Linked DNA regions of Styela clava. The protein of the gene in region 1 interacts with the protein of each later gene in a biochemical or structural test. Links are inferred from orthologs where the notes say so. Each region holds a gene or a part of one and is shown in the gene's direction. Other genes may lie near its edges.

Region 1 (7,441 bases):
ACTGTCACAATTTTTAATATCTCTTGATAACGAATATCCATCGCCCAGGTAATCGAGCAATCAAACTGTTGTCCCTATTTTCAACCAGTTACTTAGGCTTTACGCGAAAAGAAAACATTTTCATCACTAGCTTGAATTAAAACGAAGCAAGGAAGTCGACTGCACGCCGCTGCAGAGCTACGTATTGCAGAAATTTCTTTGCGGCCTCGTTTGCAATCCTATATTGGAAACGAAACAGCAGCAAAATTCTGACTAGAGGTAATTGTGTTTGTACATGTTTTTTAAATGAGTGTGTTATGTGTGCCTTTCTTAGGCATAATGGTTGCATAGCACCTCATTTCATTACGCAAATATATGATATTATTTTATGTTTCACCCATTTCAATTGTTGGCCGACACATTATTTGATATATACTTTTTCTTTGTGTGAAATGTTTTTAGGTGTGCCTTTTGTCTAGAAGCATATTGAGTGCCCGATATTACATTACTCGAATATATGATATTCTTTTCTGTTCCGCTCATTTCAATTTTTTGCCGGTACGCGAGTACATTTAATTTTACCGGTCCGCTAGGGTAGAAAGGTTGGGAACCACTGGTCTATGGGAGATACGCTTTTCAATACTTGTTCGAAGCTAATCTGCGATTTCCGAGACGCAGAATCCAACGAGTAGCAAAAATCTTTATGTGTGACATATCGCGAATAACTTACCTCATAATCATAACATTTCGGCGAAACTGAGATTCATAACATCGTAGGATTTTGTGTTTAAATGAAGCAATCAGTAATCAGTAGTTTATTTTTCACTATACCATCAAATAGGCACAAGCATACAAATTGCAATGAATTATAAATAGGTCACGTTTCAGGTTGAAGGCGGAAACCCAGTACTGGTTATCGAGCAGCGGCTGTATCAAAACATGGTCAAAATTGAGCCGTGATTAAGGAGACAAGGGCAGAATAGAACACGAGAAACGTATACAGCAGGTGCGTGCAACTGTTTTGCGCAATGGGCCACAAACTACAAGTATAGTGATACCGGGGGTCAGACCATCGAACAACTCATTAAACAATCCAAAACGATACTAAAATCTGAGCATTTGCTTATCCTGTCTTTTAGAGAAACTTCGATGTTTTCCGATAGATCGTCTATTCGTCGAGCCACTGTAAAACGAGGCAGACTTATTTGCTCCACTAAATTTTTCTTCTCCGTGGATACATTTTTGATGAATATCTTAAAACAATTCTTAATGAATTCACCATCGCTGTACGGCTTTCCTTTTTCCGCAATTGCTTCAGCTATCTTGAAGCTCAGTTTTGTAACTATCTCAGTGTCCTTGTAATCATGGAATACCTCTTGTTGTTTGCTCAAAGACTGTTTTAATTGCTGCATTTTGTCAACCCGTGATTGACCTACAATGCTATCGTAGCTAGCAGAGTTCGCTTTGCCAAATCAGGCAAACTAGATCTTGATTGTGTTGCACAATGAGGTATTTTACATAACACTCATTGTTGAATGTGCGCCTTTCATAACTTTCCCTTTCTTACTGGTGGACACTTGAACTTTGTTAGGCTTTTCGTATAATAACCTGCAATCATGAATTAAGATGCACATAAGCACATTATGCTGCAACAATGGGGGGTCGTCACAGTACTGTATAGTCTGAGTGTAGACGGAATTAAACTGTAGTGTGTTGTAGTCTTATACTGTAGTCAAAAATGCCAATAATGCCGTTGCAATTCAGAAAAAGTTTTTTAAATTAATAGTCTACGAAGTATGAAGTCGGTAGCGGTTATCTTGATTTTCCACCATTCATCCTGGTCCAGGATGCATTTACTAAATGGGTAAACAAATACTCAGAATAAATAGCGAAGTTGAAAACAAATAATTTATCTAAATACGAATATTCGGCGGTGTGATGCATATAAGCACTGGGAATGCGCTTGCCACAGGACCTCTGATTACCCTGATAGGGTTCTCAGGTTCAAATCGCGCCTTATCGCCTTCCCCTCCCCTAGATGAATAGAATCCTATCCTATTTTATCAAACCCTGGGGCGTCGCTAAATCCACACTGAGTAGTGTGCCAATAATATATGAACAAAATGCTTGATATAAATATTAAGACCATTTCACAGAATGTGAATGTGCGATTGCGGTTAATTTAAAGTTAAAAGAAAGCATAAACCTCGCATGGCTGCTTTGCGTACTCGAGCGTTTCAAACGAAACTTTTGATTTGACTTAAACAAGACGTCACTGGCTTGAGGCGTCCTGATTGGACGGAAGTCTCGATGCGCTATTTACGAATGTGCTGTACTAACTGCGGGTCTTAGGACTTTAAATTCAGAAATTGTTCTATTTTGCCTGTACTCCCGAGATTTATTCGTATTCGAAGTTAGTCTTGTATTAAGTTTAGGTGTGATGACCTTGTGGATCTGGAATCATGAACATATTTTATTAAACCTAGTAATTATGGGATGGTTACCGTATGTGCGAGAGGATTGCTGGACTCGTCGTCGTCGTTGGGTGGTCACGTAACCGCTGCCCGCTGGTCGGTTACGGCTTCCTCCACCACCAAGTCTATGCTTCCGAAAACAAACAATATAACTAATCCCATACCCGACTTGGAATGGTAACCAGACGAGAGGCTATGGTTCGCCATATGGATAAGCCGTCTTATCGGCTTTCCTTTCCCCGGGATAAATATGTAAATCCTATGTCTGTATGGGGTCTAGTATTAGTTACGGTATCAAGCAGTCAGGTGACGTCTAATTTCTGAATTTAAATGAAATATTGACTGGATTTCGGTGTTCCACTTTATTAGTGATTTTATAAAGGTAGACTATAGTGGCATAATATATATATAGGCTACCGGTACTACCAGTATTTAAAGAAATACAGAAATATGTTAAGAGCAAAGACAAAAATATTTCTCTTGTGTATCATGTCCGCATGTCAAAGGAAAGTATTGATGTGTTTTTCTTCCTGAAAATATGGTGATTACTCTTCTATGAACTGTATATGTGGCAATCAAAATGCCACTAAAGCAGATAACTCTTGTTATCTCTCGCAAGGTATATCCGCCTTCCATTCAGATTCAGTCATTACTGCATTATATCATCCGTTTATTTTTAGTGTTTGTGGAACCACGTCTCCCGGTCTCTGTTATATTATTTAAACTACATATCATATCAATATTTGCTATTAACAATAACAGTCGAAAAAAAATTCTAATTTGATTTTGCCAAGCGGTTAATATTTACAGTATTCATAACACAAAAAACCAAAAAGCAACAATTGAATGGTGCTTATTCAAAATACTGCACAGTCCTCCAATTCCAAGACTAGCCGCTATATTTAAAGACATCAATAATAACGTTGAATACAAACCCCTCCTATACGAGACATCCTGACAGCGTTGGCACTCCATACTGCCATACCGGTATCACCTCAAGATTAGCAAATCGATACTCTGTAATAAACTGAAAAAAAAAAATCTAAAAATGTCTTCTATCAGAGTCCTTTTTAAAAAATATTGGCTGAAAAAAATTTTATCATAGCAATGGCATCGCCCGAAATGACATCTGCGCCGTTCATAACGAACTTGCTACAGCCGGCGATCTCCAATCATGATCGTTGCGACGAGAAAGCTAGAGAAATAGCTTGCTCGATTCAGGTGATTGTTTGCGCGTTTTGGACGACCATTCGCATACTTCGGTGGGCCTTATTACGTCACTGTGACGTCGGAATGACTTAATTTTTCGGTGATGTAGTCAGGTCGGGGTTAGGATTGACATATGCAAAAATTATTGCATATGTCATACTATGCTAGGACAACTAGAAGTGCATGTGGTACTAAACTATATCAGACCCCTCGTTTCTGCGACAAATAAGTGTTTATCTAGCTATTGAGACATTCTTGGAATCTGATAACTGTGCCCTGATACCAAATTAGTAATTTTCTATTGAAGAGTTTTATAATCTTATATTTTACAACACAAATTATATAATCGCTCAAAATCATATTCTTCAATATAGTTTGTCGTTGTATTCATAGAGACCATAAACAGCATTGAAAAAAGTTAAATATATCTAAATAAATCCATACAAATACTCCTCAAAAACTGTCATATATTTGTGACCTTTGGTTAAGTTTGTATGGTTGTCAATATGAAGTAGTTGAACATCGCATAAAGCAAAGGCAATAAAATGACAAACGCCAAAATTAGTTTATGCTGGGATACTAATACAATTCTATTGCTATTTATGTAATTGTCCTTATATTAATATAGCATATAAGGTGGCTAACCAGTCTTTGAATGCAAATACTCTCTTTGTTTTAATTTCTGTATTTGTTACAAAATGTTTATGTAAAAATTACATTTTCATAACTAAGTAGCTAATGGAAAATCTTTTGATAAATTTTTATTTAATTTTATATTTTCAAGTGCTAATTTTGTTGCTGTGTGGATTAGCTTGGGGAAGCCTAGGCAGACACTGGGTGCGTACGGCAGTTCTTAATAATAATATATCTGCTAAATAAGCGAGTTACCATCAGATTCGTAACTAGTACTTTCAGAACTGCTTGCCGGATCCAACAAGATGGAAGATTATATCAAAATTGAGAAGATTGGTGAAGGTGGGACATATTTGTTTTCATTTAGGCTTCCAACATCTTCATAAACAAGCGCTTTACGAGCAATCACTAACACACTATGTTTCTAGACAGAATTTGAATATATTAATTTTATTACAGGTTACTCAGTCTTGTGCATAGAGTTTGAACCTTTAACCTTGGATCATATATACTTAACTTCAATTTAATATATCTATATTATTTATATTATCAGTGTATTAAGATTTGTTCATTTTGTTGTTTCTAGTTAAACAAATATACACTTTATTGCAGGCACCTATGGAGTGGTCTACAAAGGACGTAATAAGAAAACAAACCAGCATGTTGCACTGAAAAAGATTCGTCTTGAGAGTGAAGATGAGGGAGTGCCAAGTACCGCAATTCGAGAAATTTCCATTTTGAAAGAACTGGCTCATCCCAATATTGTTAGGTTTGTCTAACTTTTATTAAAACTTTATTTAAGTGTGCTGTTGAATTCTATCTTTCTGTCATATGGTCATCTTTTTCTTTCCATTAGATAATTCAGTTTTAGTTTTCTAATATTAATCTCAACTTCGAGTTATTGGAGTTGGATTGAAATTTCAATCCTTCGTCATTTCATGGTGATATTCAAAGTTCAAATTTTCTACAGTCCAATTATGTTGATAAATCATTGTTCTTATTAACGGTAAATTATTAAAGATGCATTGTATCTGCCAAAGTAGTTCGCAGCTTGAATCAAAAGTGACATTACCATCAACTTGTAATCAGAATTGTTTTCGGATATTGCTATTTTCATTTAATGCGTAATCTATCATTTTTAGTCTGCTTGACGTCCTCTTGCAAGAGTCCAAACTGTACTTGGTGTTCGAGTTTTTACAGATGGATTTGAAAAAGTACATGGATTCAATTCCATCTGGAAAATTTATGGACAAAGAGTTGGTAAAGGTAATCATCTATATTGCAGTACATCATAAAAAAAGAGGAGGGATATTTTAATTTTATAATGTGGGAAATGGGAGCTGACAAAAGCTGGCTATATAAATATTCAACTAGTTAATAGTTCCACTTATGCCTGTGTATCCATGTATGCTTTTAGGAGGAAATTCTTATATGAAGTATGACATTTTAGTATACTTTGTTTATCATATAACTATATTAATCCGTCGTGGGTTGCTTTGCTTTCATTGAATTTTATTGTTACATTTCTCGCCAACAGAGTTACACATACCAGATATTGCAAGGCATCACATTTTGTCACTCGCGTCGAGTGTTGCACAGAGATTTGAAGCCACAGAATCTATTGATTGACAAAAATGGCATCATCAAACTTGCAGATTTTGGTCTTGCTCGTGCCTTTGGGATCCCTGTCCGAATCTACACGCATGAGGTGTTCAATTTTGCTCTTATCATATCCCCCTTCATACTTGTTCTTATTCCGAAAAGTGTTTATTGATCAATGTTCCGTATATGACATAATGGTTACCAGCCAACATATTTAATTTAGGTTGGTACTTATGGTATAGGCTTTCCATAGATAGTATCACTGGACAGGTTTTGCAAGAATAGATCAAACATTAAGAACTAATCATTATCTTACATATGTGCGGATATTGCAATACTATGATATCATAGGAAAGAAAGTATCATATCTGATGGTAACTTATTAATATAACCAAATACTTCATGTTGATAACAGTCAAAGTTCTCCATATCCAGTTCATAAAATTCTTGCAAATAGCAGACTGTTCTAAGAATGGGATGCCAAGTTTCACATTCGAATTGTTATTTTTAGGTGATCACTCTCTGGTATCGAGCGCCAGAAATTTTGTTGGGATCCTCGAGATATTCTACTCCTGTTGATATTTGGAGTATTGGAACTATATTTGCTGAGATGGCAACAAAGAAACCTTTGTTTCATGGAGACTCAGAAATTGATCAATTGTTTCGAATATTCAGGTTCGAATTTCAGCTTTGTTATTTTATGGGTTTTCTGAGCATCTCCATTTTAAATATAGTTGAGTTGAGTTTATTTTTTCCACACGAGCACAAATTAAGAGAAAATGATAGTTTACACAGTTTTACTGTGGAAGGGAAGTCGCGGGGAACCAGAGCTGGTTATCGAGCAGCGATACCGGAAGTTCTATGCAAATTATTATCAGAAGTGGCATACGGAAAACTTCATTTTCATATCCCTTTGCTATTTCCATGAAAAAAAAATTCAGATTTCATGACATACTTTCAAAAACTCACTAAAACATGTAGAAACTGTCAAAAGCCATCAAGCTATTTCAATATCAATAATAGACCTTTTAGTTTTGGTCTGTGAGGATGAAGGCTCGACATCACTGCTCTGAATCCTAATTCTGCATAGTATTGAGAATATCATAACATGTCTTAATACTCTCAATATACACTTTCAAATCTTCTAGAGTGTTGGGAACTGCTACTGATGATGATTGGCCCGGAGTCACATCGCTGAAAGATTACAAACAAACATTCCCAAAATGGAAAAAAGGAAATATTGCGGATTCTGTTAAAAACCTCTCTGATGAAGGATTGGATTTGCTAATGGTATTCAGATGAGATATGTTTTACTTGTGTTTTTCGTGTACTTTCACATGCAGTACATGCAATTTGTATGGTTCATCATGAACACCTTATGGTGAATGGTGATGATGAAGTAGTTGGTCATTGAAATTAGGAATCTCATTCAATTATCTGGAAACTGGCTCTGTGAGATGTCCCAAGGTCATTATAGATGTCATTTAATAAATTTGTTGAATTTACCTGTAAAAAAAGTCTCTCAAGAAGTGGACTGAACTTCA
Region 2 (8,023 bases), on another chromosome or scaffold:
TGTGTTGCAATAGTTAAACATAACCGAGTACCGCTTATAAACACTTTTAAATACATGGAAAAATGCTATTCAAACGTTTACGAATGACGACATTAACAGTCTTGAAATTACGGCGAAATTCTATTTAAACATTTAATCACTAACGCTTTTTCAATAGTATTGTAGTAACGGTGAAATGCCATTTGAACGTTCAATTGAAGTTACGGCGAAATGCTGTTTAAACGTTTAATAACTGACACTTTTTATTAGTACTGTTAAAATGAGTCAGTCGTTGGATGTTTTGAATAGCATTTCACTGTAAATTCAATACTGTTGAAAAGCGCCAATCGTTAAACGTTTAAATAGCATTTTACCGTTAATATTCGATTTTACAAGATATTAGTTTGGGTTACAATGCCAGACTTTCTCTATTTAGTCGTGCTCTATTATGATTTGTAGGCGTCCAATAATGCTAGGATGTGGTGCCAGGGTTGAATGAACCATTAAGCAAATTAGGACGTGCTTAGGGCACCAAGGAAAAGAGAGCACTACACAAATTTCCATAGTTGAGTTTTCGATAGTGTCTCAGTGTTTATTGGTGCAGTAACCTTAGTATTGACCCGGTTAAAAAATCAGCATAACAATAAGATGATTGGTAAAAAAAATAAATAAAAACTGATTATGAAATCAGGAGAGCAAACAAAACCTTAGATAAGGTTTAAAACTTACAGAATGTATACAAGATGGAAGGTTTTGCCAAGAAGAAGTGGTACGTGTTCACTCACCTAAAATAATGGAAATATTCCACACACGCTCACACGCACCCACACACACAACCATACAGAAGTTATAAATTACATACGGGTAGTTAAAAAAAAATAAAAATTACTTGCCACACCATATTAATAAATTTATAACGTTTGCCACTGCCGAATTGATATCTTTTATAAATGGGAGTGAACAGTAGAGATAAACTATTATGAAAAATATATTGCCAAGCTGATTATAGTTGGAGTCAATTGCCAAAAATGCCCAACCAAAGTTACCAGAATTGGGTGCATGAAGAGGTGGGCTAGACCAGTGGATCCCAACCGCCGGTCCGCGAAGCTTTTATTGCCGGTCCGCGAGAAATTTCGTCATATTGCGACGTCTTTCGCGACATCATGGCGCCGTCTTTCGCGACATCTTGGCGCCGAGCAATCACACTTTTCGCTTTTTCGGCTCCGATTCGTCGCGAATGGGCTCTATGAAATCTGGCAAGATTCAGAAACCCAAAAAACGGCACGCGTGCTTTTCTGTTCTGCGTGCTTTTCTTGATTGATATAACCATCAATATCATACGTTATGCATATTCAAAAACAGTATAGTTTTCCAGTGATGTATGAACTTGTTGCGACCCTACAGGTGGCCACGAGACGTGCAAAAAAGCATGGGCTGCAGAGATCTTTTCCAGTATTTTGAGCAGACACAGTAGGATTTTGAGCTTGGTGCCAAGTCATCAACGACTTTATCATTGTAATGTAAATTCATTCGTTCAAGGCGTCAATCAACTGCAGAGGGATTAATATGATAAACCCAACGAAATAGAAAAAGCTTGATTAAAATTGTGATTCAACTTTACAGTCCAGATTTAAAACAGAATTACTTGAAACAATTTTAGATATTTCTTGATAACGAATACCCATCGCTAAATAATCGAGCAATCAAACTGTTGTCCGTATTTTCAACCAGTTACTGCGTTAGTTTTTCTCCGTGTTTTTTTAGGTGTGTATTTTTGCACACCTAGAAGCATATTGGGTGCCCGACATTGCATTATATTACGGAAATATATGTTATTCGTTTCTGTTCCGGTTATCTCGATTTTTTGCCGGTCCGCCAACACATTTAATTTAATTTTACCGGTCCGCCAGGGTAAAAAGGTTGGGAAACACTGGGCTAGACCACTTCATTCCCCAAACTAGAGCCTATTATTGCCAAATTATAGTCCAGAGTGTAATGTATTCAAAGGTACAAGTAACAGTATAAGTAATTATAATTAATTAAGGTAGGACAACGGGGAATAGGAATATGTTGGTTACCAAGGTTATAAGTAAGGTTTTTTTCAATCTTAGATATTGACTTCTGCAAGGACAAGGGAATTAGGATTGTTATTTCACAGGATCATTTCTTCATTTACTTAATGTAACGCAATTGTTGTCAATTCAAAGTTATTATAAATGAGACATCACTACATCAGACTGCCAATTTTGATGATGTATACACCCTTTATATTCAATAAGCTAGCCATGGAATTGGTCATCACAAACGACCTGAAAAACAGAAAAAAAATCTGCGAGTAAAATATTTAAGGGTTTCATATTAGGAAATAACACTCACTAGTCACTACCCTACACTTTTGTTGAGAAGAAATTATTATTTTGAGTAAATATTAATCATTAGTTATTTATCTTTAAAACGCAAGTTGAAAGACCTGAGTTGAATTCTGGTTGGGACACAGGGTAAATAATCTTCGCAAACCATGCAAGAACTCTCAAACCACACTAACCATTTTTTATTGGCCTTCACGTTAATTTCACAGCAGAACCTTGACCTGGGATAAAATTTTGTATACAGACAAAACAAATCATGGAATACCACAGCAAATTAAAATGAAGGGGAGAATCCAATATATCTCGACTGGTCGCCTAATTACAGTAATAGGTACAGGAGTTAAATTATACCTCCTACAACCCTCACAAAGAAACACACCACTCAAATAGAAATAAAAGATCATGCATGTGGAATATCAGAAACCCAACAAAAAACATGCACATAACAGAATATGAGCAGCCATATGCGGAAGAATCTTATGCTATGCATGCTATAGGACAAAATAAAGAGCCAACTAGAATGCAAAACAAAACAGATGTGGAGAGCTTAGCTGCTTGTTCAAAAATAATAAGCAATCTCAGAGACAATAACAATATTATGGCTGTTCAACATTCTCATGAAAATAATAAGTATGTGCAAGTGAGGAGTGTCCCAACATTCTGTCATGGTCTTTCTTTTGATGTTCTATCTAATTACCTACAAAAACTATGTCAGTGTGGTTCTGAAATAATAACTTTTAATATTTGGATATCAAGTGGGACTTGACTTTTTTCTGAAACATTTTTTTGGATTTCAATGTCTTTAAATTTAAGGGGAGGGAATTCCACAGCTTGGGCCCAGTATAACACAGGGCATGCTGGCTCACAGACTTACTCATAAAAGGTATGAAAAAATCAGAACTACTTCTTCGATTGGAAATAATTTTAGTTAGAATGTCGTCAAAGCAGTTTGGCAAGGAGTTGTTATGAAAATCATAGACTAACGATAATACTTCAAATTTCATTATATCTTCGACTTTGAGTATATTTAGCGTTTGATAGAAATGATTTACACTTTCATGTTTACTTTTCCTGAAGACAATTCTTAAAAAAGTACTTTGCAATTTTGAGACAAGTGTTTTATTACCATGGAGCCAGACTGAGCAACAATATCGGATATGACTGAGTAGTAGTGATTGAAACATTGCTAATAAAGCTGATTGATTAACGCACTGGGGTACTTTGGCAGCAACTGCCAAGTTTCTTTTTGTTTTACCAATAACATGCGATATTTGTGATTTCCAAGACAGATCTTTCAATTTCATTGCCATTGAGCAGTAGTGGTTTTGTACAACTCACACTTCTATGCTTGCTTGGATGGAATAATACAAATTCAGTTTTTTTAGCATTAATAGATAATTTATTAACTAACATCCCGCTATGGATGTTGGTTAATTCTTGGTTTGCAACTGTGAATAGATCTTCAAGGATTTTCCCATTAAGAATCAAGTCAGTGTCATCAGCAAACATGATTGACTCGGAGGATTTCAGACATCTGAACATGTCATTAATGTAAGCTAGAAAAAAATAATGTTCCAATGATGAATATGGAAACTTACATAATCAATTGCAGATATTATGACTTTTGATATTTATGGCATCAAAGTCTTAAGTGCTTAGGGCTCCTTAAAGCCACAATCCAGTCCTGGTTAAAAGGGCATTAGGAAATCAGACTTTGTAGAGTTCAAAAGGACTTCCTAAACTACCTTTAAACGCACTAAATTACGACCACCACTATCAATGGAGTTGTTTGATCATGTTCATGTACTAAATTTAAACGATATAAGCCAGGGGTGGGCAACTTGGCACGCGAGCCCATTTATTCGGCACGCGAGTGAGGCTTCAGAAACGAGATCATTCTACTTCACAAGAATTTTAAGACTCTTATCTGATGAAACTCTGTGTCCGCTTATTCATAGTTGTTTGTTAGCAATCCGTTATTAGATTAAACTCTTTTGGTCCTTTCATGACATATATTCCAGTTCTCAAGTATGATTTAAACGATAATGAAAATTTTGACTTTTTCTACGCACCGCAGGTACAAATCCGCAAAAAAAAATAATTTACACCGGGCGGGTATTCAAGCACCGGCCCTTATTTATTTTTATGTGCTGTTCACACGGGCGGCTATTCAAACGGGCCCTTAATCAAGACCGGGCGTTAAAACGAGCCTTTACGGTAGCTACAAAAAAATGTAGTATGACGTCACAACTGAGTGAGCTCTCGACAATTTTGGTCGGCACGCGGATGAATTTTGTCAATAAATGTAGTCGATTTTGGCACGCGAGCCAAAAAAGGTTGCCCGCGCCGGATATAAGCCATGTTTAACTGGAATAACAAAAGTTTCGTCTTGTAATTCTACTCCCAAATCTTAAAAAATTCTGACTCCGATCTCAGCTCAACAGTTTCTGATGTTTTTTTTTATTCTGCACGGATTAATGTATCAACACAAAACTTATAAATAAAACATATATTACAAAAGTCGTACAGTGAAGATACTGAAAAATACGAGAGTTACAAAATTTTGACATCATAAAAACATTAGGGCGGTAACACAAGCTTCGTTCTGTTTTGATGACAGAAGTCCGGGAGACTCCGACGTAACATAGCTCCGGATCAGCGTGGGCGGGAAATTCGGATTCCATTGTTTTGATTTTAAACAGAGACATTTAATTTTAACCATGAACATTTCGGTACCGGTAACAGAATCAAGTAGGTTTGAACAATATTGAATGTTAAATAAATATAATTGGAAACACTTGTTTTTACATGCTTTATCTTACAAATAATTGTAATCGTATAAATGATGATTATGAAAAAAATGGAATTATGGAAAAAATGAACGGTGATGAATTCTTTTTCCAATGTAAATTCCATGACATTGTAAAATGGCTTCTCTTTATAACTTATCATTCCCTATCCCACTGTACCTTTATACCTTTCTAATCTTCTGGCTGAAATGCAACCATAATAGGTTTTGTGGAAATGCTTTTTATTAAGTTTTTTTATTTTTTTTTTGAAACTTCATTGTTTTTGGCTGAATCCAGAATTTCAAAAAAAACCTTATAATAGTGAGTCATTTGATACATACCTTTATTATCATATTTCGCCAAAACCTGTAGGGTCACATTTTGGCCAGAACAGCCATAGACCACTTATAACACTGTCGCCCTTGAGTGGTGCATACCATATATGTACACACCCTTTAAACTTGACCATTCCCGCGTTTTATAGTATGTGGTATCATCACTCAATGGTATTGTACATTCATCCAAATTCTTAATTTTTTTTTTTTTTTAGAAAATTTTTTTATTACTATATTCATATGCATTGTGTTTCATGTTGTGTTGTGTCTCTATTTATAGATGTTGTTTTGTCTAACAAACTCCTTTGTACAAACAGTTTTGTACACTCCACCCATATCCCTGTTACCGCATCCACCCACCCTCCTCGCACAACTGCCTGTATAAAGGACCATATTGTACATATTTGATTTACCCTATTAAAATTTATATAAATCAAAGGGGTGTATGCCGCACATCTGTGTTTTAGGCCAATATGGTCTTGTGCATACATCCCGTCTTCAGTATTTATAAGTACTTACTCTTTTATATTGCTTTTACGAGACGAATAAACATACATACATACATACATTCTTCCTTGGAACAACCATGAATAACATGTACCGGTACCATATAACATATTACTGTATTAATAATGTACCGGTACTGTTGGAAATTCTTTTTGATATTATTTTATTTGTTATTTGTCATTAAAAAAAAATAAATATAACAGTTTGGATGATATTGTTTTATGGTGGCCGATATAACTAGGCTTATCATATACCGGTGCCATATCTGAAGCAAAAAATGAAAAAACCTTCGCGGTGCGGTTTGGACGTGCCAACCTTGGTTTCATTCCGGAGACTTAGTAATAGTTGTCCATACCATTATGCGTAGATCAAGGGGCATCAAAATTAGCAGTAGTCTAAATTCTATCAAAATATCCTTTTAGTCTTTGCTCCAAATACTGAAATAGACTATACCGGTACCCATTCGTTCACCTGGTTAGAAACTTGCATTTTGTTTATCGGAGCTAGCAAACGACAGTAGGTACAGTGCAGTTGGGTCTTTGATTGACGTATGGATCTAGTGCAAATTTTATATCATAGCTACTGTAGCTATGACATAACAATTTTTTTCATTATCCAGTTATCTGAACTTGTGACAGTGTGAAGTGAGACGCAAATCAGTGGTAAATTGGCTGCCACCGTTAAAAAACAGTTTTGTAATTGTATCGAAGAGAAAAATTACTTATAGCCTAACTGGAATTTGATAGCCTTATATTCCAGCAGACATTGTATCAGGCCTATTCCTGTATCGGTGTATTTTAATTATTCAAGACAAATGTCACAGTCTTGATGCAGTGGTGAACTAAATGCCAATTACTGAATTAGCTAATTAGCCTACAATCAACATTTTGATATATCTTGGTGGCAATGCGAAAAGGTCATGCATTAGTTCATTGATTTCATAGTAAAGAATCTTGGTTGAATTTCGCTAAATAAAATTGTACTGTACCTGACAGGATCCCAATCAGCTTATTCTGCCAATGCTCTCTTTTTTTAGAACTCAATTTCAACAGTGCAATGTCAGCCTGATCTGTGATATTCAAGCTGCGACTGTACAGAGCCATTCATACACACTGCTTCATTTATATTAGCAGAGCTGTCTAAAATACAAAACATGAGTGAAAATATATTGCAGACACCTGTGATGCGGTTCAAGAAAAAACAGGTTGGAGCGGAATGCCAATCTCCTTGTTTAAATATGCCTGCATCACCCTTGCTACAAAGATTGGGATATGGCACAGGTTCAAGTTTTAGTTATTATAATCACTTGACTAATTGATATTTCTCAAGGCCTTTCTCATGGTGATAAAGCTTCAAACCTTTGAATTATGCATTCTTTCTGCTGATTTTTCCCAACTCCGAATATGTTTAGAGCAGTTTGTTTTGATCAACGCTCTCACTCCTTTGTATCTGTTTCCCTCTTTTGTCAATGCCATGTTTAGTTTTTAGCTTCCACTGCTTTTGATAACAGTATGGGAATGAAATGTTAACTAGTGCTTAAGTTGTGAGGTGTTCTTATATTATAATATCCCGTTTTGAAGGCGTCAGTGTTTATCTTCTGGAACGATCACCACGGCAAGGCATGCATCGGTCACCATGGGCGGTAAAAAAAGTTAACAAATCAAAACAGAAAAATAAAGCAAATCTTTTTGCCAATCGGTGAGTAGCATAGGAATAATAGCATGTAATCTCACATGTTCAGATTTTTTCTTAATGACTTTCTTTGATAAATTTCAAAACATGATTATCTCTCTTATGCATGCAGTTCACTTGTTTCTTTTGCATTTGGATTAGCTATGAAAATACTTATCTAATCAAGGTTAAAAGAAGAAGCTAACATATTGAAATCGATTGACCACAAAAATATTGTTGGATTCCGGGCATTATCCAAAGCAAAAGATGGAATGTTGTGTTTGGCTCTTGAAGATGCAGAAAAATGTTTATTCTCTATCTTGGAGGAGAGAATGGAGGAACATTTAGGTTTGCTCTTTGGTATAATATTGCT
Region 3 (6,973 bases), on another chromosome or scaffold:
TTCAGCAGAGTTTACGTCTGAAAACCCGAATAAACATAGTCCATTGTTTATCTATGCGGGAGACCTGTTTTGCCGTAGACCTGTAACCAAACAAAAGTGTTTTAGTAGTTGAACAAACGGCTCACAAAAACAAATAAACGATTTCTGTACAGTCACGAGTCGATATTTATTTATTTATAGATATAAATGTAAATACGCGGACATGTTGACTGCACCTTGCTACAGATCGAAAAATAATATAATATAATATGATATAATGTGCTAATGTCATATTTGTTATTACCAGTTTAAAGTAGGTCAGTCAAGGCCTAAGCTAAAGCCAATTATAATAAAGCAGATTAATACGCAGAAAAGTTTGATTTAGTTCTTATACTATTTGAGTTGTAGTCTAGGTAAATTAGGTACTGACCTGTATTTAATCAAATGTAATATATATTAGTATTTGGATTTCGACTTACGACTCGAGAGATATTGGGATATACAACCGAAATGCATTCAGACCACTTGTGTATAATTAATTTTTGAATTTACCCAGGTACGTTGAATTGCTTCGAGCAAACAGTATTAGCTAGAGATGAAATTCGGTGCATTTTACTATTTATTGTCAATAGCTTTTGTTTTACTTGAATAGGTTCGCTTGAAATACAATTATAACTCCACGCTTTGTTGACAATTTTTGTTTTCCATTTGCTCAAATTTGAGTAAATTGTTACTAATTCTGTGCTATGATTTACTAATCAATAGACGTCCGCTGAACTATCTTATCATACTAACATCGAATCTTTTTTTATCTAAATTAACTTTAACTGGAAGGAAAGCGGCAATCAACTGTATAACATTACATGATAACGTATAATGACATGCCTAGCATTAGATACCCTATCTCAAACATCCTAATTAAAATATTTCAATATCAGTTTATGATTAGATGCGATTTTACGTGAGCGATATTTTTAACCATTAATGTAAATAGCACCTATGTGTGAAATATTGTTCAAATAATTTTACGAGGTTGTTTCTCATTTATTTAATTATTTGTTGATATCATAGAATATTTTAATCATATTGATAGCCTTACACAACAAGCCTGAAACATATATGGCATGTTCTTATGTTTGATAAGAAACAGGGGCACACACATGGCCAGTTTAATTTGAAAATTGGAAGTACAATTTAGTAAATATATCAGCGACATGTTAAAATATAACAGTCGCTAAACTTTGATTAGCACTTTATAAACAATATAAGAGGTGTTTGTTTTCTCACAGAAATGAGGGCGATAATACGAAAGGTGTCATTTTACCAAATTAGCGCGCTTTCTGGATTAAATTTGCTATCGATTTACCTCTTCGGACAATTAACAATAATGTATTTGGAGGACCAGAATTTACTTTTCAATTTCTAATATAGTCAATTAAGTTAAGACGAAATCATGACTGGCCACGGCGTATTAACCAAAATGGTTACCGGCGCCACATTCTCATCTATCGCCCAAACTTGTTCAACTCTAAGGTAATTTACGTTGACGATAGGGAATGGGAATATTACCTGTAAGAAATTACGTATTCTGTTTCAAGTGGGATTTTGGAATTACCCTGCTTTTCTAAGTACTGTAATTGTTTCAGAATTACTATATGTTGTAATAAGCAAGGATTACTTCTTTTTAATTTTATGTGAATAAAGGGGCGTTGGAGTAAAATGAGTTGGTCGATTTCTGCTCCGGTGGGATTATAACACCGGTCAATTATCTTTACAGATAGGTTATTGTGATTATTGTATTGCATATTAAACGACCTTGATGTTGCGCATGACATATCGCCCATTTCCTTTGATTGCAACATTAAAGGCGAATGAATATACGATAATCTCAGCATCAGATTGCATGTGGATGGCATATTCATGCTTATACTCCGGAAATTGGTCCACCTTGTCCGCTTGCTTCCGCTGCAATATGCGATTTGCATTAAACGATATTGTTGCGATATTACCGCCATTTGATCGTACCGCGGTTCATGGATTAGTCTCCACTGCAGTGGAACGTTTAGTCTCCACCCTTGGGTAGCGACGTGCTATAATCCCGCGGTCGGAATTTTAACACCGCGGTAAAGGTACAGAAACCGTCAGGTATGAACAGATGAATTTTATGAAATGTCACATTGCTATATCCACAAATCCGCCAATTACACCCGTCTGGCTGCGAAAATGAATCATCGTTTTTATTTGAGTGTTAAATTTTCCTTTTATGGAAATCACGTTGTAATTACGTCATTGAATATTCCACCCGCGTAGTAAGGTTCATACCGGGTGTTCCCAGTTTTGTGTTATTCTCAACTTGCTTGCCTACCGAGATAAAAACTTTAAGCATGGACTATTCGAGTTTCGCGAAATATATTATTCCAGGGTAGGGAATTTTACTAGCCATGCTCAAGAGCCCTCGAATTAACTCTGTCATACAAGGTTACGGAAACCTAAAAGTTTGATTATTTCAATTTGGAACATCAATCGAAAGGTTATTTCCGCACTTATTCCAACTATAGTACCGAAATATCTTTTGATAATATCGCTATTAGTTACATCAATGTAATCCCGGACCTTCATTGAAAGCACATTAAAGATAACATCACCGATCGGTAAACAGGGTTTGTTTGCGCATGCACCCTATCGGCCAGACCAATAAAAATATATCAAGAACCTGTTCCTGTACGCATGGCCCAACGGAGATATGTCTTGTAGCAAGTTATCTTATGTTATTTTAAGAAATCGTCCTTTTAGTATTTATTAGCAGGTATAATGTAGTTAAATTATATTCACTGTGGTCCGTTGAGTGACAAGTTATACCCTCTCATAGCTCAATTGTAATGAGTTCATTAAGTTAGGAAGTTCGTTGAATATATTAGATAGTAATAATTACATTAGCAAAAGATATATACTGTATAGAATTGCAAAGGAGTGATATGAATTTTGTATAATGAAAATTGATAAGGTTTGACTTCCTACAAGAATTTGGTTTATGCGTACAATGACACAAATTTGCAAAATTAGAGTTGCATATCCGACAATGATACAATCTATTTAGTGATAGATTGTACCTGCTCATTAGCAAGTGCACGAGCCATGAAGTCTGATCGAAGCATAATTTAAGAACAATAAAGGCTAAAGACTCGTGTCTTCAGTTAATTAAGGGGCACATATTGAATAAAATATGTTGCTTTAAAAATACAGGAAGCACAGCAAAACTATTGAGATAGTGTCGCGCTGCGGGAAACGTAGCGATAACGAACAGACGTTCGCCTTGCCTCATTATGCGACGCTAAGTTACAAAGCGCCAGAGGGAAAAAAGCATCGATATAATGGTTAATGAAAGAATTAATGACGTCGCGTTTTTCTTTCTCTCGTTTTGCGTCATATGACGAGTGATATGATTGGTTGAGAGCGTTAGACTCCCGCCATTCTACACGCCGTGCACGCGGCGCGATTGTTCAAATGGTGTTCACGCTTATTCCAGTCGACTAGCGGCATGTTTTCATGGGTTTATTACGTGTTGGTGACGTCAGATTCAATCATTCGTGCTAAAATGACGTATGGTGTCACATTGTACATTACTTAGATCAGAGGAATGTTGCTAACAGTTTATGAAGATTAGAATTATGAGACAAAAAGACCAGTCCTAGCGTATAATTTAAAATCAAATCAAGCAGTTTTCAGATACCACAACCGTCGACTCTAACGGCCAGGTTTTCGTACATTCTGGATTATTAAAATGTACAGATAGGACGGGCTCAGTGAAAACTAGCCTACAGTTTTATGAGAATGGGTTGCGGTATTAATATGAAAACACAATCGTCTGAAATATAGTCCAGTAGCCAGTGTCTATAGTAACGGTACCGTACAACTTTGACTTACGGACTTCAGGACTTATCTCTTTATCATATACTTTTGATAAAGTTTTAAATAAGGTGATATCTAAATGTACATCAATATATTTCAGTTTAATAATGTTTATTTATATTGTTTAGATCTTATATTACCGTGATATCAGTAAAATCAACTCTTGCGTTACATTTGAACTTTACACACTCTGAGACAAGGGCAAAAGAATCAAATATCATCGGAATTACTTGCATCGGATTTATAGAACTGCCGTTATGTCTTTTGCACTGCCATGTGCCAGTCCATCAAAGGATTTACCTGGATCAAATAGTATCAGAATGGCATTGGATTTTAGTGATGATGGATTCATGGATGACGATTCAGGTAATTTGCTATTTCCATATTAGTAGACCAGATTTATTGCAAATAACTCTGTATTCAGGTATTTCATAAAAAGCAATTCATTGATCTGTTTGGGAATTTTTTGTTAGTTAGGCCTAACGTTATTACCTACGGTACGGTATTCATGTCACAGCAGCTCAGTTCTGCTGTCCACTTTTCAATAATTGGCTATATGATATTACCTCATTGACTAACCCCACGCTTTTTTATTAGGTATGCAATTGTCTTTGACACCATCACCTGACTCAATGAAAAATAGCCGCTCAAGAATCAGTTCACCTTCCCCAGCAAAACGTTCTCTTTTCTCTCCTCCTAAATCTAAAGTTAGTCGTTGTGAAGGAACACCAATCAGCTCAACAACACATTCTCGAGTTTTACGAAGAATGTTACACAATAATAATGAAGATGATTTGAGGAAAATTTGTGCTTTGAATGCCATGGAATCAGCCTCTGAAGATGAAGAATTTCATTCACCAGCTTTGAGAAAGCTTCCATTTTCAAGTTATTGCGATCGTAGAGATTCTGGAAATGTTTCATACGATGAAAATACACCAGCGAGTTCATCCAGCATTCGCACATCAAATGTTCTAGAATTTAACTCTTGTAGTAGTGGTGATGATAACAGTGACAGCAGTTTCTCTTCTCCAACCAGACCCAGCAGCAAGCCGCTATGTATTCCATCACCAAAACAATCACCAGCATCATCATCGGGCGTTTCTGGTTGCTCACCAGGTCGGTCACCTCCAGACACTCCACCACACACAAGAAAACTTCGAGAGCTCACACTCTTTGATTCTCCTTCCACACCAAAAACTCTTTTACGCAAAATGCGTTCCCGAAAACCAGCTTTACCTAAACCAATAGAATTTTCTTATTCTGAAAACTGTCCCACACCAGTTCCACCACCAAGTCCAACCAGTGCTTTCAAGTCGAGAAGTCGTCTTCGTATGTTGCGAATGGATGCCGCACATTCAACACCCTCAATGCCAAGAACTTTTAGAATAAGCGCAGATGGAACAGACACAACAGATGAAGAATGTGAGATAATTCGGGGTTCAAAGAGCTTACCCAGGTTTAACAAGTTCAAAGAACCCACTACTCCATCTGTAAATGTGAACCCATTTACACCCGATAACAGACCAAAAAATTCAAAACGTTCAAGAACTGGAAAACAAAGGAAACATTCTTTTTGTTTGGATGACATAGATGAGGAAGATGAAATGAGGCCTGCCAAGGTAAATAGAACATTTTTTCTGTATTTTATATTCATCATGAGTCTCCAGAGTTTAAATAGTTATGTCTAATTGTTGCTGGTACTTTTCCATTCCTAAATTGACTTTTTCTATTTTCAGAGAATTCATTTACGTGAAAACAACATCTCTCGTTACCAACAAGAATTTCACGAAATTGGAAAAATTGGAGATGGCGAGTTTGGTTCCGTTTTTAAATGTGTCAATCGTCTTGATGGGTGTGTTTACGCAGTAAAAAGATCAAAGAAACCTCTTGCTGGATCTGTTGACGAGTAAGTTCATCAATGATATTAAAACATCGTATTAGTTTATCTTTTGGTTTACTTTATTAAACATTTGAATTAACTCGAGCAAATACCATACACTGAGATCTTTTAATTTTGCAATTGCTAACCTTGTGTTTTTTTTACTTGCAGAGCAAATGCTATTCGTGAAGTCTGCGCTCATGCTGTCCTTGGAAAACACAGACACGTTGTTCGTTATTATTCAGCTTGGGCAGAAAATGATCATATGCTCATTCAAAATGAATATTGTAATGGCGGAAGCCTGGCTGATGTAGCAGCAAAGAATCAACAAGAAGGCGAAAAATTCTCTGAAGAAGAAGCAAAAAATCTTTTGCTGCAAGTTTCTAAAGGACTTAAATATATACATTCACAAAATTTGGTTCATATGGACATTAAACCAGGAAATATCTTCATTTGTAATGAAAAGCAGAATATTTCACTGGACTCTCATCAGAGTGAATTAGATAGCGAAGACGAAGAAGAAAAGGTGACAACAACCAAGGAATGCTCTGTTTATAAAATCGGAGATCTTGGTCATGTTACTTCAATTGAAGACCCACAAGTTGAAGAAGGCGATTGTCGTTACCTGGCTAATGAAGTTCTCCAGGAAGAATATTCACATTTACAGAAAGCTGATGTCTTTGCACTTGGTGTTGCTGTTCATGAACTTGCTAGTGGAAGAACGCCTCCCAAAAATGGCAGTTCATGGCACAAAATTCGTAACCAAGGCCTCGAGACACTCACTCACTGCTCAGATGAGTTCAATAAACTTTTGCAAAGCATGGTTCACCCCATCGTTGCTCATAGACCAACCGCAGCAAGCCTCACACAACACCCTCTCCTATGCCCTGGTTCTTCAAAATCAAAAGACCAATTGAGAAAAGAGCTTAACCAAGAAAAATTCAAAAATGAAATACTCGCAAGAGAGTTGGAGGAAGCAAGACAAAGTCAGCAAGAATCACAATTTAACAAAACTCCATTTGGAGGCCGAAGGGGAATGTCAACTGGATTACGCAAAAATTTCAGCAGTATGCGAGGCGGAAAAACTAATAGACTTTTAGGTAAAAAGACTTGTCGCAGTATGAGCATGACTTCAATTTATTAATTTGTTTCCTATTTCAATTAATTATGTTCTTTCATTTCTGCCCTGCCTAATGTTCTCAAAAT
Region 4 (6,989 bases), on another chromosome or scaffold:
GTCCGCAGAACGGTCGGTGACATCATAGCAAACAAAAACAAATCTCACAAAGCCAACAGAGATATTTGAAATATATAAAAGTGATAGCCTTCTGACGAAAAATTTCATCTTTAACCACTAAAAATTTCAAAGCAATTGGTCCAGTAATCAAAGAGAAAAGCGACCTTTTAGATTTTCCATTAGGTGTCCAAAAAGTGTCAAAGAACAACAACAGCATAATATTGAAACGATCGTTGTGTCCATTACCGTGTCCAATAATCGAAACGAAATAGATGGGAGCGCAGGGAAAGATATCAATTATTTGGGTAACTTGTATACTTATGAATGAATGTAAGTTAAAACAGAACAAGATGGATTTTGCACATCCAAACAATGGATGTGTTATATTCTACTATACACATACTAGTGCAATAAAATCAGAAGCACGGGTTGATCATCGAAACAAATCAGATTTTTGGTAAAACAATATCATTGGTTATAAAACGTTATCATGGAACCGGATATTTACCTCTACATCATTGACCGATTTAATATCTCTTTTTGTCTGAAATATACAGGGATCTGTCAATGAATAAACTATATTATAAGTCCCTCTATAAAATTAAGTTTTTTTTCGAACCCAATATAAAAAAATTGCTGAAGTGATTTTAGAATTTAGAGATATTTCTAGAAATATGTGGTTCCGTGCTCGATGAGTCATCAACACTTCTTCGTCATTGTCTACGCAGCAGCCATCTTTGATGTCATAACAGGGGAAAACGTCACAGTTCGGCTTAACTAATGACGAAAATTGCGTCATATTACGCTAGTACTTGTAAAAATAGTTTGGTGTTGAAATAGTTAAAAACAAAGCAGGAAAAATGTAGAATATTTTCGTGATATGTATTAAAGTAAGTTGATACGTAGTTATTTACAAGCTGACGTCACTTAGACCCGGGAATGATGAAAAGATTTTTGGGCATGTGCTGTTGTATTGAATCCGTTTCCCGCATTTTCGTTTTGATTTTAGCTTGAATTTGGGCGATGCCAAATTATTAAAACACTTGAAGACATTTTAGCAACAAATAAGGAGGATAAATTATGAAATGAAAGTTGAAGGACACAATATTTGGGTCACCCCACGTTCCGGCCATAAGCCAGACAATACTGCAGCAACGGAATTCATGAATACTAACCATGGTTGGAAAAGGAGAAATACTGAAATCTGCAAATGGCCTGATAATATTGTAGTCTATAAATGAAAGGTATAGAGACAGCTTACCGATACACTGATACATATAAAATCAGGAAGTTAATAAGGTAAATTAACGTTTTACGATAATTTATAATATTGTAACATCCTGGTCTGTGATCTGGTGATAGTGATCCAGGGATGACAGATTGCATAAATCGTTAGAGACCTTACAAAACCGAAATTTTGGTACCGGTATTGAAAAGTGAAAAGAAAATGTTTCTGTTGTTTATCCTGCTATCGCTGTACTGCACCTGCAGACCTGGATGAACTGTAACCTTCCACTTAATCGTATACGAATATACCAAAAAGTTTACAGATTGGTCTTGGCTCTTTTTTCTCATTGTGTATCTTCTCTTAGTATGAAATAACAAAACATCATATATCAAGAACAACAACTGGAAGTTTTGGTTAGGTTACGTTCACAATGAATACCTATAAACTGTGGGTTTGGTGTAGTTTCGTACCACATGTACTTCTAGTTGGCTTGGCTCAACAGTTTTTGGATATGTCTGTATGCTATTCCTAACCACTAACTCCCACCTAACTATGCTACCAAAAATCATGTCACAATCATATCATAGAGCTTGACAAAGTATAGCTACGATAGCCCAAAATGGCAGCTGTGCCCCTGATTTCGAGCTTACTAACGCCAGCTCTCTCTCATATCAGGATTACTACGACAAAAAACAAGAGAAATAGCTAGCTCAACTTCAGATAATCCTCTGTGTGTTTTGAACGACAATCTGTATATTTTGGGGGGCCCTATTACATCACAGTGGCGTAATTTTCGGATGACGTAATCACATGGGGGTAAGGAATGACATATGCAAAAAGTGTTACGCCATGCCCACCAGAAGTTATCGTGGTACAAAACTACTCGAGACCCTAAAATGTCTCTCCATGTATTGCAAATATAGGATAGCATGCATAACTAGCAAACGAATTCTGTAAATAGCTAGAGATTTAAATTTGGAATTTGCAATTTATCTGAACTGATGAAGACAACTTATTATAGTAACACAATATCATTGCACAATGCTAGGGGTATATAATAATAAAGAATTATGTTTAGTCACCTATTTATCTTTGTTTTCTCTGTTATGTGTTTTCCATAACAATTTAATTTTGTTTTGATTCATAGCTTGACAGGGGCGCTAATATTTTCTTGTTGAAATGATGATATGACAAATGGTCATTAATAAATAACTTGCAAAGTGTGTTTTTACTTCCACTTTCTTGTATTGACATTATGATGACATTGTCTTTAGCATCTTAATGGGAACGTTTCCTGATAAATAATTTTGTTGGATTCATGTTGTTAATATTTTAGGAATTATTGAAAATTTAAAGGAATGTTTCAGACTTATTTCATTTTCAAGATGAAATAACATGTCGCCCAGTTGTTTCAGATTAATTTACTGCTTAGATTACCTGGAATATGTGAATTGTGATTTTGCCCATAAACAGGAAGAAAGAATTTTATGAAGATGTTTTCTTTACTCCTCATTATCATCGTATTAACTGTAGAAACAACCCTACTAAGATAGTTTTCCAAATTTCTGGAATATCTCTGTTCATGCAATAAAGGGCAAAACTGTAACAACATTTCATGCAATCTAACGTGTGATAATAGTAAGAAAGTAAAGGGAGTATATGAATGGAATCGATAACATCGTTAATTTGTGAATATTGCTATTCTATCTTTGAATGATATTGAGCCATTCTTCAAGTATATTCATGTACCGTAAGTATCCCATCATCTCGATCAAATTTTTTATTACCCATATCGATCAAAATTTGTCACATTTTGATATCATGTATTCTTGGCATTGTGATATGAAGTAGAAATAAATATATATAAAGATAACATCATGAAACTTATGTTTTAACCATTCATATGTTGAGTTCATGAATTGGCCAGAGAAATATCAGAACCAATTGAAGCCGGTCTCATCGAAAATGAAATACTTCTGGTCTTCTATACACCTTGTCATAGTAAACCAGAACAATCTAGCTGAAAAGGGGCACTTTTGACTTGCCTCGTCCTACTAACAGCCTTCATATTTCATAATGTAATTGTATTAACTCGTGTATTGAAGAGACATTTTTTGAGTACTTCTATTTTTTCATGTTTTCACTCAATAATCATTCCATGCTTTGAAAATTACTGAACTGTAATTACCGGTAAGATATGTTTAAGTTAGACAACAGATGATAAGGAAAAATATCCAATTGTTTTAATGTCATTTTATCCAATACCACATGCTATTCTATTTACCGTTATACTTTTATCAAAGTTATATTAGTTTCTATTCAAGGAGGCTATTTAATATTGCCCAAAATTTTATCAATTTGGATAATAGGGCAGTTCAATTATCAGGTTAAGTCAATTGAAAAAATAATGGTATTCTGAAGAATAGAATTATCCCAAAAAATTATTTAACTTAATAATACTAGTCGAAACAATGTTGGTTGTTTTCGTCTGGTACATTCTCACAATCAATTCCAAATTTAACATCTGTGCCATGCTAATATGTTACTGCTTGAGTCTAGTAGAACATGGATTTCATTGGGTGACAAACTGATGGTGTGAGTAAGTAAATCGGTTTTCAGACTAGAGGTAAGTATATTGAAACTAATAATAAGCAGAAACTACATAGCTTACGCCGAAAATATGATTGAGGCCATTCTACTCAATCGCTTTGCATATCTATGTTAATAAATATAACAATTTAGTGGTTGGTCAATTTCTTTGAGATTGTGTTTTTGCTTTAGGTTTTGTTATTTTATTAGACTGTGTTATACTAATATAAACAGTAGAAAGAACAACTTTTATTATCGATATGATTCTCTTTCACCTATAAACTCAGCAATGGAAAGCGGAACACAAAGTGTTATCACATCTAATCAACAATCTGTTATTCAGTCACCTAATCAACTGAACAACGGAACTGATTCTGCCAGGAATACTTCATCGGAAGACACCCAGGCTAATTCTGACACAGCTAAAAGACAGCGGGAAATCCTTTCTAGGCGTCCTTCTTATAGAAAAATATTGAGTGACCTGTCAAGTGATAGCCCTAGTGGAATTAATCCCGCCGTGAAAATGGAAGTGCTAAGCGAAAATAAGTCCTCTGAAGAATCTGAATCAGAGTCTGACTTGAGTGCAATCTCAATCAATACACCGACAATAGCATACCAAACGAGTACGGGCACTGTTACTATTCAACAGGCTCCACAAACGATACAGATATCTACACCTTCCATAAGCGACCAATCTGACATGCAAACTTTTTCTGTGGCAAATGCTCTGAGTCAGGGACAGGCTATAGTGCAGCAAGATGGTCAGCTGTGGGTGCCTGGAAGTCATGTTGTTGTCCAAGGCAGTGGTGGTGATCTTCAGGCATACCAAATTCGCTCAACAGGTGGTGGCCAGCTTTCTGTTGTATCTGGTAATTCACCGTCCAACACAGTGCAAACGCCGCAGCAAATGGCAGAAGAAGCATCCCGAAAACGAGAGCTAAGATTAATGAAGAATAGAGAAGCAGCAAGGGATTGTCGACGCAAAAAGAAGGAGTACATTAAGTGTCTGGAAAACAGGGTACAGGTACTGGAAACTCAAAATAAGGCACTTATCGATGAACTTAAGACATTAAAAGAGATGTACTGTGCAAAGGACATGTGATCTTAAATACAGGACAGGAATGTTAGACATCCTGTTTGTCCGATAGCTTGCTCAAGCCTATAACTGGCAGTGTTAATAACAGCTGAATATTTGTCAGACTGAGTTTATATTGAAAATGCCCACTCGCATTTTTGGAATTGCAAACTATGTTAAATGAAGCCTCAACTTCACCAGTTTTAGTACTTCGATTTTAATGAAGTATAATATAGTTGGTAGCATCGAAACCTAACACAAATTTAATGTAATACAAATCAAATAATAATACAATTGTATCTTCAACTAATCTTGTTTTGTGATAATAATTTTATAAAATACATATGTATAAGGAAGGTTTGACTTGATAGTATCAATATCTTTCAGATTTACAATAAGGAAAAGTCAATATATACTTGTGAAGTTATTGTATCATTAGGACTTTAGTAGTACTTCCTAATTATTCTCACAAATCTGTATTTTTTGAAAGACTGCTTTTATTTTAAATCTATAAAATGTATCTTCCGAGATCAATTGAGACGAAAGAAAAAAATTTAGTGGATATATTGCTATTTTATAAGGTCTTGAGATTTTAAACTGAACTACTTTTGTGCACCTAGTGTCTGTCTTGATTCCTACTTGAAGATGATCATCTTAAAAATTTATATACCGTAAGATGCGGAAACTTTTATTTTTCGAAACTTCGAACTGGTATTTAATCGGTTATGAATTCTGTAATCCCAAATATTTGTTTGAAGTTGCAGATGGTGATATGTTGTGATTTGAATTGGTGATTCTTATTATCATTTTCTCACTGCATATTGTACATATAGATTATTTTATTTGCAGTGCAGTTTTATTGTTGCCTGTTTTCCTTGTAATTATATTTTTGCAGGGTTACTAGCATTTTTGTTGCAAGTTTATATCTGCCATGCATTGGCCAGAATTAATTTTGTAACCAAAACCTTCTGTTTTTAAGTACCAGTAATTAAGATTTTTGCATTTCAAAAAAAATTTCTAGCTTTTTCATCTAATTTCATTTGAATTTTGATTTGCAAGAGAAATTGATGGAAAATATTCAATTCAATGACACAAGATGACTAAAGCACTTGAAAGCTGCTTATTTAGGGACTTATTCACTCAGTTTTTCAATATTTCAAGTATTTTCAATAGCCAAACTCAATTCCAAAAACTTCGCCATTTTTATAATTTCGCTAATTGCTTAAGAGAGTTAATGTTATACAACGGTACATCAGCATGTTCATTTTAGTCTAATCTTTATGTTTAAAATATATCATTTATCCCAATTTCTGTGGCAGAAAGAAAAAAAGTTATTTAATAACTATTTTTGGCGCAAATTTTAAATGCTGGAATTGAATCATTCAGAACTATCGTTTTTTCTGCCTGCATTCAATCAATTACGGTTTAAAACTTCTGTTCATGAATTTAATCTTCTGCCTTGAAAAACTATCATCTTCCAGGATTTGAGATGCACTGCAATGACAGTAATAAGAATACAGCAATTCAATCAAGGAGGTTGCTGGACACACATACTGTTCAAGTATGATATGGTTAGTTCGTTGATCTCTTTATCTATGTAAATTTGAATTTATGATTGCCTTGAATTTAAATTTGATATCAATGTGTTTGTATTCGGCTGTATTGTTTTGTTGCGTTTAATAATATACCTATTTCTTTTGAATTATTTTACTCTCGACATTTCATCCTGATACTGGGGAACGCAGAGCCAATGTAGTACAAAATGCAAATTTGTAGTCTTTTTTTTCAATAACCCTCAATCGTAAGCCACAATTCACAATCTCATGCCTCTGTTGGGAACATGTGTAATATTTCATAGCCATATATGACTTTCCAATTTCCTGATCCATATTTGAATCAACACAACAGATGTCTGCAATATTTTTATCATACAGTTGCCATCCATAGGATAACGAACATAGGTATTTTTTGCTGATGGATTGCATTGGCACCCTGTCTAAAATCTTATTTTTATAATTTGAGTTAAGCACGCTTGGTTAAAGTATAATCTGTGTTTCTTCTCCAAATGCATCCTGCAATTTACTTGATAAGTACGAC

What was found.
Region 2: the proteins of cyclin-dependent kinase 1-like (region 1) and lymphokine-activated killer T-cell-originated protein kinase-like form a complex in vitro, tested with the Homo sapiens proteins (2 studies listed by BioGRID and IntAct, with this or other methods). The link is inferred for Styela clava from reciprocal best matches to the Homo sapiens genes CDK1 and PBK.
Region 3: of the proteins of cyclin-dependent kinase 1-like (region 1) and wee1-like protein kinase 1-A, one has a biochemical effect on the other in vitro, tested with the Homo sapiens proteins (5 studies listed by BioGRID, with this or other methods). The link is inferred for Styela clava from reciprocal best matches to the Homo sapiens genes CDK1 and WEE1.
Region 4: of the proteins of cyclin-dependent kinase 1-like (region 1) and cyclic AMP-responsive element-binding protein 1-like, one has a biochemical effect on the other in vitro, tested with the Homo sapiens proteins (2 studies listed by BioGRID). The link is inferred for Styela clava from reciprocal best matches to the Homo sapiens genes CDK1 and CREB1.

The regions. Positions count from the first base shown.
Region 1 is NC_135260.1:19,958,370-19,965,810, forward strand, and holds the start of cyclin-dependent kinase 1-like, read left to right. Parts: upstream 1-4,426; 5' UTR 4,427-4,600; coding exon 4,601-4,637; intron 4,638-4,907; coding exon 4,908-5,064; intron 5,065-5,437; coding exon 5,438-5,561; intron 5,562-5,832; coding exon 5,833-6,003; intron 6,004-6,408; coding exon 6,409-6,572; intron 6,573-7,045; coding exon 7,046-7,187; intron 7,188-7,441. UniProt on the Homo sapiens protein: Plays a key role in the control of the eukaryotic cell cycle by modulating the centrosome cycle as well as mitotic onset; promotes G2-M transition via association with multiple interphase cyclins.
Region 2 is NC_135254.1:11,926,915-11,934,937, reverse strand, and holds the start of lymphokine-activated killer T-cell-originated protein kinase-like, read left to right. Parts: upstream 1-4,999; 5' UTR 5,000-5,099; intron 5,100-7,015; 5' UTR 7,016-7,132; coding exon 7,133-7,259; intron 7,260-7,559; coding exon 7,560-7,677; intron 7,678-7,837; coding exon 7,838-7,998; intron 7,999-8,023. UniProt on the Homo sapiens protein: Phosphorylates MAP kinase p38. Seems to be active only in mitosis. May also play a role in the activation of lymphoid cells.
Region 3 is NC_135255.1:13,733,546-13,740,518, forward strand, and holds the start of wee1-like protein kinase 1-A, read left to right. Parts: upstream 1-3,966; 5' UTR 3,967-4,145; coding exon 4,146-4,254; intron 4,255-4,485; coding exon 4,486-5,507; intron 5,508-5,624; coding exon 5,625-5,794; intron 5,795-5,938; coding exon 5,939-6,911; 3' UTR 6,912-6,973. UniProt on the Homo sapiens protein: Acts as a negative regulator of entry into mitosis (G2 to M transition) by protecting the nucleus from cytoplasmically activated cyclin B1-complexed CDK1 before the onset of mitosis by mediating phosphorylation of CDK1 on 'Tyr-15'.
Region 4 is NC_135252.1:2,242,601-2,249,589, forward strand, and holds cyclic AMP-responsive element-binding protein 1-like, read left to right. Parts: upstream 1-3,976; 5' UTR 3,977-4,106; coding exon 4,107-4,919; 3' UTR 4,920-6,597; downstream 6,598-6,989.